Linked DNA regions of Drosophila melanogaster. Changing the gene in region 1 together with any one later gene gives a genetic interaction. Each region holds a gene or a part of one and is shown on either strand. Other genes may lie near its edges. The genes, in order: Sk2, ifc and Calx.

The links.
Region 2: of Sk2 (region 1) and ifc, changing one enhances a phenotype caused by changing the other (phenotypic enhancement), as found in Drosophila melanogaster (one study listed by BioGRID).
Region 3: of Sk2 (region 1) and Calx, changing one suppresses a phenotype caused by changing the other (phenotypic suppression), as found in Drosophila melanogaster (one study listed by BioGRID).

Annotation. Positions count from the first base shown.
Region 1 is NT_037436.4:3,045,130-3,048,884, forward strand, and holds the start of Sk2 (sphingosine kinase 2), read left to right. Parts: upstream 1-1,957; 5' UTR 1,958-2,060; coding exon 2,061-3,037; intron 3,038-3,516; coding exon 3,517-3,755. Other genes in the region: scramb2 (scramblase 2), read right to left, coding at 1-2, 594-1,087, 1,508-1,622.
Region 2 is NT_033779.5:5,984,671-5,988,425, forward strand, and holds the start of ifc (infertile crescent), read left to right. Parts: upstream 1-1,677; 5' UTR 1,678-1,824; coding exon 1,825-2,222; intron 2,223-2,407; exon of another isoform or gene 2,408-2,824; intron 2,825-2,945; coding exon 2,946-3,513; 3' UTR 3,514-3,755. Other genes in the region: eIF4A (eukaryotic translation initiation factor 4A), read left to right, coding at 49-272, 356-500. UniProt on the Drosophila melanogaster protein: Has sphingolipid-delta-4-desaturase activity.
Region 3 is NT_033777.3:20,976,602-20,980,356, forward strand, and holds the start of Calx (Na/Ca-exchange protein), read left to right. Parts: upstream 1-1,581; 5' UTR 1,582-2,519; intron 2,520-3,755. UniProt on the Drosophila melanogaster protein: Na(+)/Ca(2+) antiporter that couples the energy of a Na(+) electrochemical gradient to the movement of Ca(2+) against an electrochemical gradient across a membrane, which contributes to the regulation of cytoplasmic Ca(2+) levels.

The DNA.
Region 1 (3,755 bases):
ACCTGTGCGCGGTTAAAGGGGCGAGAGATGTTTGCGTTTCGCATTAATCGGTTCGCAGTTCGCGGCATCGCAATTAATTGACTCGCTCTGGACAGTCAGGCATGGCTAACCATGACGTCACTGCCTCGGACTGCAGTCTCTTTGCTTCTGTACGATCACAGCAGCGGTCAGTAAAAGGGCTCATAGATCGGCACAAACACTTGGTGCATTTTAGCCATAAAAAGTATAAATTGATTGATTGATTTTCCTATATCTAGAGGCATCTGTTAAATAACGTATACAATTGAAAATTTAAAACTAGTGTGGGTGCTATTAATTTGAACGCTTCTGTCTGTTCATAATTATTTAGAATATATGTATATAGGCACTTATAAATGTTTAATAATTAAAAAAGCAATTAAGTGGACGCCTGATACTGTTCATTTTGGAATTTTATAAAGCTTCGTCTTTGACTGATGAAGACCATACATATGTACTCCTCCGAAGAATTTAAAGCTAATCCGCTGACCGCTGCTGTGTGTGTATACACTTGTTTGGGCATTGGGAATCGAGATCGAGAGCCAAGAATAACCACTTGTTGGCTGCGTACTGACCTTGAAGTTGGTATCGCTGAAGCACTTGCAGGGACAGACGGGTCCCTCGATCTGCAGGACGGTATCGCCGCATGTGTTCTTGATGTTGAACTTGGGCCGCATGAAGGTGCAGACCTGCTCAACGCTACCGATCACCTGGCCGGGTGGCGCCGACACCTCCACGGCGTTCATGCAGCTGGGAAAGCAGCAGAGGATGTCGCACTTGAAGGGCCGGTACAGGTGGAGCACCTCGTTCTGAAAATTGTCCAGTATCTTCATCTCGAAGGGGCGCGACCGGCCGAGCATGTTGCGGGTGCAGCAGTCGCTCTCCTCGTACGCGAAGTACACATTCTGGCCCAGTGAGTTCTTCACCTTGAAGCGGTTCTTCGTCTCGAAGCCGGTGAGCAGCTCCAGTTTCTCGATCTTCTGCGACACGAGCAACTGGTCCAGAGCGGTCAGGTATTCCAGTCCCTGCGGGCAGTTGGGCATGCCCACGGGTATCGACATCCAGTTTTCTGCAATGGGGCGTTGTTCCGGATTAGCTCCCTATGTATTTATATTTATCTATATGCATAAAGTGCTTTTCCGATATCTATGCATGGGTAAAGGAAATTAGCATAGCTACAATGGCGGTCAGGCGATTAGGGCCAGTGATAGCAGTTCTTAACATAAACTAATATTTTAAACAATATGTATTTACGTATTGACTTGGAATCACTTCACTTTTTGGTACATTATAAAATATCTTTTTTACATAGATAACTATGGGTGCTATTGCCATGCCCGCTGCTGTACTAAATGCCAAGAAAGAGACGACGGCATTTCCGCCTTTCGCACACGCCCACTAGCCCACACAGACGCGCGCAACCGACTAGGTCCATCCGAGTGATGGAATTCAACAGTGGACAAATCCATATATGTCCATCGCTACGCACCAGGTCCGTTGGCATTGTTGCCAACATTCGCCGCCTGCGGCTGCAGGACCACTGCGCCATTCTCGTCCTGCGGTGCATTCTGCGGGAGCACCTTGTACTCGCTCATCTGCATCATTGTTATTCCCAGCAATTAAATTCGTATCGGATTCTTTAACAGTTCACAAAACACTAAATGCAGGGTGACCGCGTTGCGAACGCCGAAAAATGCAACGCAAATGCACCGTACGAAATATTCTGTCATATATTTTGGTATTTATTCGAACACAGAAAAATATCAACAAAAAGCTTTCAGCACTCAATGCAGTGACAAGTTAAATTTGTTATGAGCTGACGTTTTTGTGGATTCATTTGTATTATTGCATTGTATTGCAATAGTTTCCTTAAGCTAGCCTCTTTAAGTTCTAAGAATTTTGAGTTTATTTGTGCCAGTTGGTATATTCGCGCCTGCCACCGACGGTAACACTGCGGCTATGATTGGATGATAAGCGATCCATAAAAGCCTGGACACAAAAGACCTGAAACATGCTGCTTGGCAGCCGAATCTCCAGTCGAAATGAGCGAATCTCTTGATAAGACCACCAGCCCGAGCTCGGCCAGTTCCAGGGCCACGCCCCCGGGAACGCAGGATGCGGATGAGGGCCACGACGTGAGCGATACCTTCTACACGAGCCAGCGCAAGAAGGGCAGCCACGTATTTCGGGTGCGCCTTGACGCCACAGGATTCACCCTGCAGCGGGAGTCGCCGGGCGGTAGCATTGTTAAGGAGCAACATGTCCGCATATCGGACATTGTGGGTGCCCGCTGCATGCGGCCCAAGAAGAGCCGGCGCCTGGCGATGTCGGGCGCCTGTGCGTGCAGCTCCGGTAATCCCAATTCGCCAGCCATCTCGGCGTCCGGCGATCACCATCGCCCTGCCACCACACCAAGCAAATGCAGCACCAATAGTCGGGATAATATTCCTTCGGATGGCGGCGATGTCAGCGCGTTTCTCTACGTTTTTGCCTATGTTCTGAAGAAGAGGAGCCTGCGGTCGGAGTTGCACCGGGAGCGAACGGTGCTCACTCTGCGCTTCCGGTCGTTCGACACCTTCGAGGACAACATGAGGGAGGCGGATCGTTGGTACAGATCCCTTCGCTGGCAGTTGCATCGCACGCTGGAGGAGATCTTTGTGGCGCCGACGGTGGATGAGCGACGCCGTCGAGTGCTTGTGCTGTTGAATCCCAAATCCGGTTCCGGTGACGCTCGTGAGGTCTTCAACATGCACGTGACGCCGGTGCTCAACGAGGCCGAGGTGCCCTACGACCTGTATGTAACCAAGCATTCCAACTTTGCCATCGAGTTCTTGAGCACCAGGTGCCTGGACGCCTGGTGCTGCGTGGTGGCTGTCGGCGGAGACGGTCTCTTCCACGAGATAGTCAATGGACTGCTGCAGCGCCAGGACTGGGCCCACGTCCTGCCTCATCTGGCACTGGGAATCATTCCTTGCGGCTCCGGAAATGGATTGGCCCGCTCCATTGCCCATTGTTACAAGTATGTTATCTTTGTTTCATGTTTCATTAGGAAAAACCCCCTTTTGACTTATGTGGATCTTCATATTTCGTGTAAAACAATCCCTCCAGCGTCTAGCCATGCAGTTTATCATTAGATTACATTCATAAGCAAAAGTAGTTTTCTTATCGTGTCAAATGGTTTTGTTGTTTTGCAAGTGGGGATATCCCCTTAAAGTTAAATTGACGTCAGACTAGAACAAACTTTCCACATCGTTAAGTAATTGCCCCCCAATTTCGTTCAACATTTAGTGGCATATCATCGAACTTTGAAATCTTTATGTTCTTTCTTTATGTTCATCTATAGCTCAACTTCCCGATAAAAGAGTATAAAAAGGGTAATAGAAAAGAATGTTTATAGACTTTAAAACCACATTCAGGTGTCTCATATCCGATCTATTGGTCGTAATCCGATTATCAGTCTTGTGTTGAAACCTATTCACTTGAAACCTTTCTCCCCAGCGAACCATACTTCAGCAAGCCAGTGCTAGGAGCTGCTCTGACCGTAATCAGTGGACGCAGTTCACCCATGGACGTGGTCCGGGTGCAGCTGCAGAGTCGCTCCCTCTACTCCTTCCTGTCCATCGGCTGGGGTCTGATCTCGGACGTGGACATCGAGAGCGAGCGCATTCGCATGTTGGGCTACCAGCGCTTCACCGTGTGGACCCTCTACCGTCTGGTGAATCTGCGCACCTACAACG
Region 2 (3,755 bases), on another chromosome or scaffold:
ATCGCAAAGCCGATAAGTTGCTAACAAAAATGTCTACCCATTCTTCAGGTGGACCAACTGACCCAGGAGATGTCTATCCACAACTTCACCGTCTCGGCCATGCACGGCGACATGGAGCAGCGTGATCGCGAGGTCATCATGAAACAATTCCGTTCGGGCTCGTCTCGTGTTCTGATTACCACTGATTTACTGGCGCGCGGTATTGATGTGCAGCAGGTGTCGTTGGTCATCAACTATGATCTGCCCTCGAACCGCGAGAACTACATTCATAGGTAAGTGCTCACCACCTCGCCCCTGAATCTACTCAGCTATGTGCTATACTAAACATGATACCATCACTTTCAATCTATTTCAGAATTGGTCGCGGTGGTCGTTTCGGTCGCAAGGGTGTTGCGATCAACTTTATTACAGATGATGATCGACGAATCCTTAAGGATATTGAACAGTTCTACCACACAACAATTGAGGAAATGCCTGCTAATATTGCCGATTTGATTTAAATTTTTTCTGCTGAGCCGCAAAACAACTAAGAAAGAATTCTAAACAAAAAGTGAGTGAGCAAAACAGCAAACAAGAACTGCGAAATCGATAACCGAGCGCAACTATAAATTATTCAAAGATCAACAAGTCAAGTTAAATATTTATTATTCAAATATTAATTCGAAAAGGCAGCCGACCGACCACCCAAAAAAAGGACTAAACCAGGACAGAGCAGCAACATCTTCAGCAGCGGCGCAGCAGCAGTAACATCAGCAGCAGCGGAAGCGGCAGCAACACCACCACCAATTGCCGATTAGCCGGAACCCCTCTGTATCCATTTAGTTCTCTGTGTATCATCAATTTTAAAACTGCGTTGTCAACCAGCAACAACAAATATATACAAATATATAAAAAAAAAAAAACAAAACTTAAAACAACATTTGCATCTATCTAAAAAAAGTAATATCTGAAACCAGGTACAAGATACCACTTGCTAAGAAGAGCGAGGAACTAAACGCAAAAGCCACAATATCAGAACACCTTTTTGCCGCACCTTTGTTTTAGCTTTTTCTAGAACTATTGATAAAAATATATTAAAACAAAACAAAATACATATGTACACATTATGTTTAAATATACCACTCCTAAAAAACAGCTGACAACCGAAGCAACATTTTACGCTAAACACGAACACACAGCGAATCCACCCAGATCTATAAATGTATTAACATATAGCTATATATCTTTCGGGGTATGGCCAAAAAATATATGGTTGCCGCTATTGGGTGTATAGCATGAGTTGATATAGCTGTGGATATATACAATTGGGTGGTATTGTAGATTATGTTTAACAAAGCGGAAGTAAATTCCTTATCTCAAAACAGTAGAACGAAAATGGCTGTTTTTGAAAAGTTTTTATGTATCTGTTACGTACGGTTTGGGTTAACCTCATATTAACCCAAACCTTTTTAGCCAATTTCATAAGCTTTCGCTTTAAAACCAGCTCTCTAAGCAAGATGAGTTCCAAAAGTTAAACTAATTTTTTAAAACTTTCAACACCACTCCACTGCATATACTTTTAAAACGAAAGCGCAGTGGGTAAGTTGCATTTCGTTAAGCCTTCACATCAACTTATCGGTTGAAATTCTGATAACAAGCTATCGATAATCTATCGATTCGACTCGCAGCCCTATCACGTCAGGTCATATTAATTTTTCAATCCGCCCAGTTGGATGTTTGGACAGTTTCCTTCCTCGCGCCGGTCGATAATGTTGGCCAACTAACACCGACCTGTAGCACGTCACCCGTAATAACCCATAACCGCAACCAGTCCAAGCATCCAAGATGGGACAGAAAGTTTCGCGCACCGACTTCGAGTGGGTGTACACGGAGGAGCCGCACGCCTCGCGGCGCAAGATCATACTGGAGAAGTACCCGCAGATCAAGAAGCTCTTTGGCCACGACCCGAATTTCAAGTGGGTGGCCGGCGCAATGGTGCTCACACAGATCCTGGCGCTGTTCGTCGTGAAGGACCTGTCGTGGTCGTGGCTCATCGTGGCCGCCTATTGCTTCGGCGGCATCATCAACCACTCGTTGATGCTGGCCGTTCACGAGATCTCGCACAACCTGGCCTTTGGACACAGCAGACCTATGCACAACCGGATCTTGGGCTTCATCTGCAACCTGCCCATCGGGTTGCCCATGAGCATTTCCTTCAAAAAGTACCATCTGGAACATCACCGGTACGTGCCAATCGGTTCGAATTCATACCCTAAACCGCACCCTCACGCACACATGGGCATTAACACTTTTCTCTGGGCAATAGGGCGTAGTCACACAGTAAACAGCGAAAACATCATCCCATTCCGCATTTATCCATTTAAAAGCCGGCTTGTGTTGTTCAACACTGATTGCTCTCCATTGGGTTTCATGTGAATTTTCACCCCGCAAACTTGTGAATCAGTTTTCATGTTGTTCCCTTTTGCCGGGCATCGAGTGCGTCTTAATTGCGCCGATTAGATAAGGTTGTAGTTATATGTGTATCCGAATAGGCGCTCAATTGGTCACGTAGCTCAGTGATTTGCCACTCGACTTCTCGGCTGCAAGTCGCGTTCAGTTGAGTCACTGCTTCGCCTTCCGCAAAAAGTTCCCGAAATATTATTCAAACTAATTTTATGAGTGTTGTTTATGTTTACAGTTACAGTCATTCACTATGTTTCTAGTCGTAGATAGTGTTTATCTTATCGCCCAGGTGCACCATTGGGCGGATCATTGATTGTCGTTCAACAACGTCCCAATCCCAAATGTTCGCTTCTCAGTCCCAACTAAGTCTAAAATAAGTCATGTACGTAAATCATCACAAACTATCTGCATTCTAAAAAAATTATATTGCTAACTACATGCTATGCATACATTGTTCACCGTTCACCAGCTCAATAAACTGTAACGTTTATTTGTCCTTTCAGTTACCAAGGTGATGAGGCAATTGACACTGACATACCCACACTGCTGGAGGCGCGCCTGTTTGACACCACATTTGGAAAATTTCTGTGGGTGTGCCTGCAGCCTTTTTTTTACATTTTCCGTCCACTGATTATTAACCCGAAGCCACCTACACGCCTGGAGATTATTAACACCGTGGTGCAGCTAACTTTCAACGCCCTGATCGTTTACTTTCTGGGCTGGAAGCCACTGGCCTATCTGTTGATCGGCAGTATTCTAGCAATGGGACTGCACCCGGTGGCCGGACACTTTATCTCGGAGCACTACATGTTCGCCAAGGGCTTTGAGACGTACTCCTACTACGGTCCGCTCAACTGGATCACCTTCAATGTGGGCTACCACAACGAGCATCACGACTTTCCGGCGGTGCCCGGCTCCAGGCTGCCAGAGGTTAAGCGCATCGCTAAGGAATTCTACGACACAATGCCACAGCACACCAGCTGGACCCGGGTTCTGTACGACTTCATCATGGACCCAGCAGTGGGACCTTACGCACGCGTGAAGCGACGCCAGCGCGGCCTGGCCTCCTAAGCCATCGATGCTATTCAAGGTTTCCTGCCATGAATGTAATCTCAGCGTTAGACCTAAAACGGCTTTTTTATGTATATATACACCGTAGAGACATTTACAGCGGATGCAGAAGAAATAAGGGGAACAACCACACACATAGCACCAGCTAATCTCTGTGATTAGATAAGGGGCATTCGGACACTTGCAGCGGCTGATATGAACAATTACGTGGATATAGTTTTTGGTATTATTGCTAGAGTGTG
Region 3 (3,755 bases), on another chromosome or scaffold:
GGACGCCAAATACAAGGTAGCAAAAGGTTGTGAGCGCACACACTGGCACACATGTTCCTGTACTGTACTGTACTTACAGCAATGGCGTGCAGCGTTTGCTTCTCTTTCGCTACTTTTGCTGCTTTCGCTGCTGCTGTTTCCATTGCTGCGTTTATATGGCCATAAGGCTAACGCTATTGTCGCGGCAGGTCTCTCAGGGGCAACATGGGGAGGTCGTTGCGACAGCGGCAACATTTGGGTCTTATTAATTTCCGTTTTGCTTATTTATTTTTACGACGCCTCGCACAGCTCGCCATTCGGTTCGCAGTTCTGGGCCCGTCAGCAGCCGAACCGCCGAGCCATCCAGGTCCCCAAATTCTAACGCAGTCGCCATAGTCAAAAGAACATTCGTAAGGAATTCCACCTTTAAAGCCCCGGTGATACCCTACGATTATTTAGAGAGGCATATTACACAACCGTAGATGGGGAGTACTAAAATGTTAATTCATTGCTTAATTCGATTGCCTTAATTTGCTGCTTTAGCTTTGATTTAATACATGAATTATAATAATAGAAGAGAAGAAGATTACTTTAAATTAGGAAAACTGATTTATAATTAGAAAAAAAAAACTACAAAATATTATTATTTAACTTTTTAAGTGAAGTTTTTATGGCGCGGTATTAAAATATGTATAGGTATTAAAATAAAATGCATAAGTGACTTGAAAAAGTTCGTAGGCGTGATGCTGCATAGAGAGCCAAGTAAAAAGGCGCAATCAACTAAATCAAAATTATACAGGGGAAAGCCATTTATCCGGTAAAACACATACCAATTAAGTTATTTTTAAAAGCTGACTTCAATGCGATCAAAAGCTTTCTAGCCAATTTGAGTTGGAATTGGCGATGTACTTCTCAAATTTGGTTTTGAATATAAATAAATATATATATTTAAATAAAATGTATATGTTGAGATCAATACTGTACTTCAACGCGTGAATAATATCATATTTTAAGCTTAAGAAATTATAAAACAATACAATTTTCAGAAATAAAAGATTTGGCCACGTGAACCTTTATTGGGTGTTGAAAATTTATATTTTTTTGCACCCCGATCTGCTAGTAATCACTTTCCCTAACGGTGCTTATTGTTAATAGACTATTTTCCAAGCATAGAGTACAGCAACTTGTTTCCAACCGACTTAACAGGGGCGTCAAAAACTTATGCGCTTGCTTGTCTAAGACAGCGGGTGGTAGAGGAGGGGGTGTGGGTGTGGGCTATACTAACCAGCAATGCCTCTACACCACCCTCCCCGCCAAACCTTTACACCCCCTGCGAAATGCGCCACTGCAACGAGAGGAAGATGGGGAACATCGGAGAGCGACAGCGAGAGAGAGCGGCGCAGTTGTTATCGCCTGGCCAGTGTTCCACTGCCACTCTGTTCCTTATCCTGTGCACTTTCTTCCTTATCTGTCCCGCTTTCACCGCCCTCGCACTCGCCACTCTCACTCTTCGTGTGCATTTCGGGTGCCCTTCGTGTCGCGACAATCGGCATTTTTAAAGAGGCAGTCGGCCAATGTGGCAGTCGGTTACTGGCTCGCAGGTTAGTCTTTCATTATCCGGCGTTTGAGCGTGTAACGTTTTCTCCGTGATTTCCACACGCAGCAGCGGTAAATACAACAACAACGACAACGAAAGAAGCAACCAAAACAATAACAACAACAATAGAAGAGAACAGCGGCAAACGGTTTTTCGCTGCGCTTCTCCTATTTTAAGTGCCGAGCGTTTTACTATTTTTACTACACAGCGAAACATACACAGATACACATATATACAGAAATATATGTAGGTATTTGTTGATGTGTTTGTTGTGCTTCAGTCAACAATAAAAACAAAAACAGTGTTTAAAGCTAGTGAAATGATCTTCCATAAATAAATTTTCAAAATTAATTTGAGAGCAAAAATGAATTGAAAGAAAATGCCAAGAAAGTGCAGCAAAAAATCAACAACGATGCTGTCGGAGAGTCGAAACTAGGCTAAATATCTTTGCATACTTTTGGGAAAGTTGTGCGGTACAAACACACACACCCGTTCGTAACACACACACACAGGACCTGCGCCTGCGGTCGCCGACTTTTGAACCTGTTTTCTGACCATTGACCATTGACCACCGACCGCCGTGCCGGCCGCCTCTTTTCACTTTTGGCAACGCGGACTGCAGCAGCCGCTGCAAAAAATGCAACTGTAAAGGAAGCTGCAAGAAAAGGAAAGGATGTGCACGAAAACGGCATAAACCTACAAAACTAGCCAAAAGAGTTCAGAGCGGTGCGGTTCAACAGCCTCCGGGTGTTCGTGTCAAGCTCGAAATTCGCAAATTCGGCGTCAGCTTCGTGCATCTGTATCTGTGTATCTGTATCTATATCTGGTGCATCTGTGTGCGGCCATTCTGCAGTTGCAGCTCTGCAGCGGCGAAAATTGTGTCAGCAGCATCGGCAGCGGATCCTGCAGCTCGCCACACTGGCGCCTCCATCTCCGATTGCCGGTAATGTATTCGTTTTAGGCGCATTCTACCCAAGCACGACTTAATCATACGCCACATGTGAAGTGCCGTGCGGTATGGCTAAGGCATTACGCATACGCCCCGTGTATGTGAGTATGAATAGTGCGGGCGGTCTTACCTTGACAACGGACGGGGGCAGTCCGTGACAATTGTCAGTTTGTTTTCCCATTTTCGTTTTTCTATCGATTAAGCCCACTGGCCCCTCGTTCGCCCTTTGTCTGCGAATTAGCGACAACTTCTGGGCCAAGCAGCATATGGCTATGTCCACCGTCTTTGTCTAACGCCTAATTGAGTCTTTTGTGAGTATCAAGAGACGAGCAGCACCGCAGAAGAAAAGAAAAGCAAATGGGGAATCCAGTTGACATCGGCATAAGTTCGAGTTTTAAGTTCCCTTGTGGACAGCTGGTTTTTGGGCTTTCTCGACTATCACATACCATAACTGCAATGGACTTTTTTTGGATCATTTTTCAAATTCTGGGCGTTACATATTTTCTTGATCATGATCGACTCGGCTTGTGATCCGGAAATGTATTTACTGTAGAGGATATAACTAACTATAAATAAAGCTGTATGGCATCCTAGCTTTGATTCTTACACGCTGTAAGAAACGAATGTCAGTAAGGGATATAATGTTAACATTCCAAAAGGCACGTCTCCCATATGAACATATAAAGTATATTAAGACTCCCAAGAAAAAGTAAAGAACTTCGCCAGAAAACGTTAGGCTTATGATTTCAGATTTCAGAGCATTAAACCACAAATGATTATTTATATGAAGTATATTTTACTGTCCCGCTTAGATGAAATTTTTCGCTTATACTGTAGACAGTGCCTAAAGTATCATGCCATCTGATAGGGTATCCATAGAAAGGAACCAAAGAAAACAATCAACACGGAGACTAGTAAACAATTGAAAAGCAAAAAACCCGCGACTCCTGCCCAAGTCGGCCAGCCCCTTGAGTTCTTTTTTCATTCATAGGACGATGGGTGGTAGCATTTGCCTTTGTCAATATCATTCAAGCTTTCATTCGCTTCACTTGCCTGACATTTGCTTACCATTTCAGTTTAGAGTTCACTTTGTTTCCCTTTGTACAAATAAATAGCCATTTATTCATTCACTCGGTTAAGGGGCTCCTTTTCACTGACCAATGAATGAAGGAAGGTCGTCCCATAAGTATTTGTCAATTGGACACAAGTTACAATGGAACTCAGTTTGGG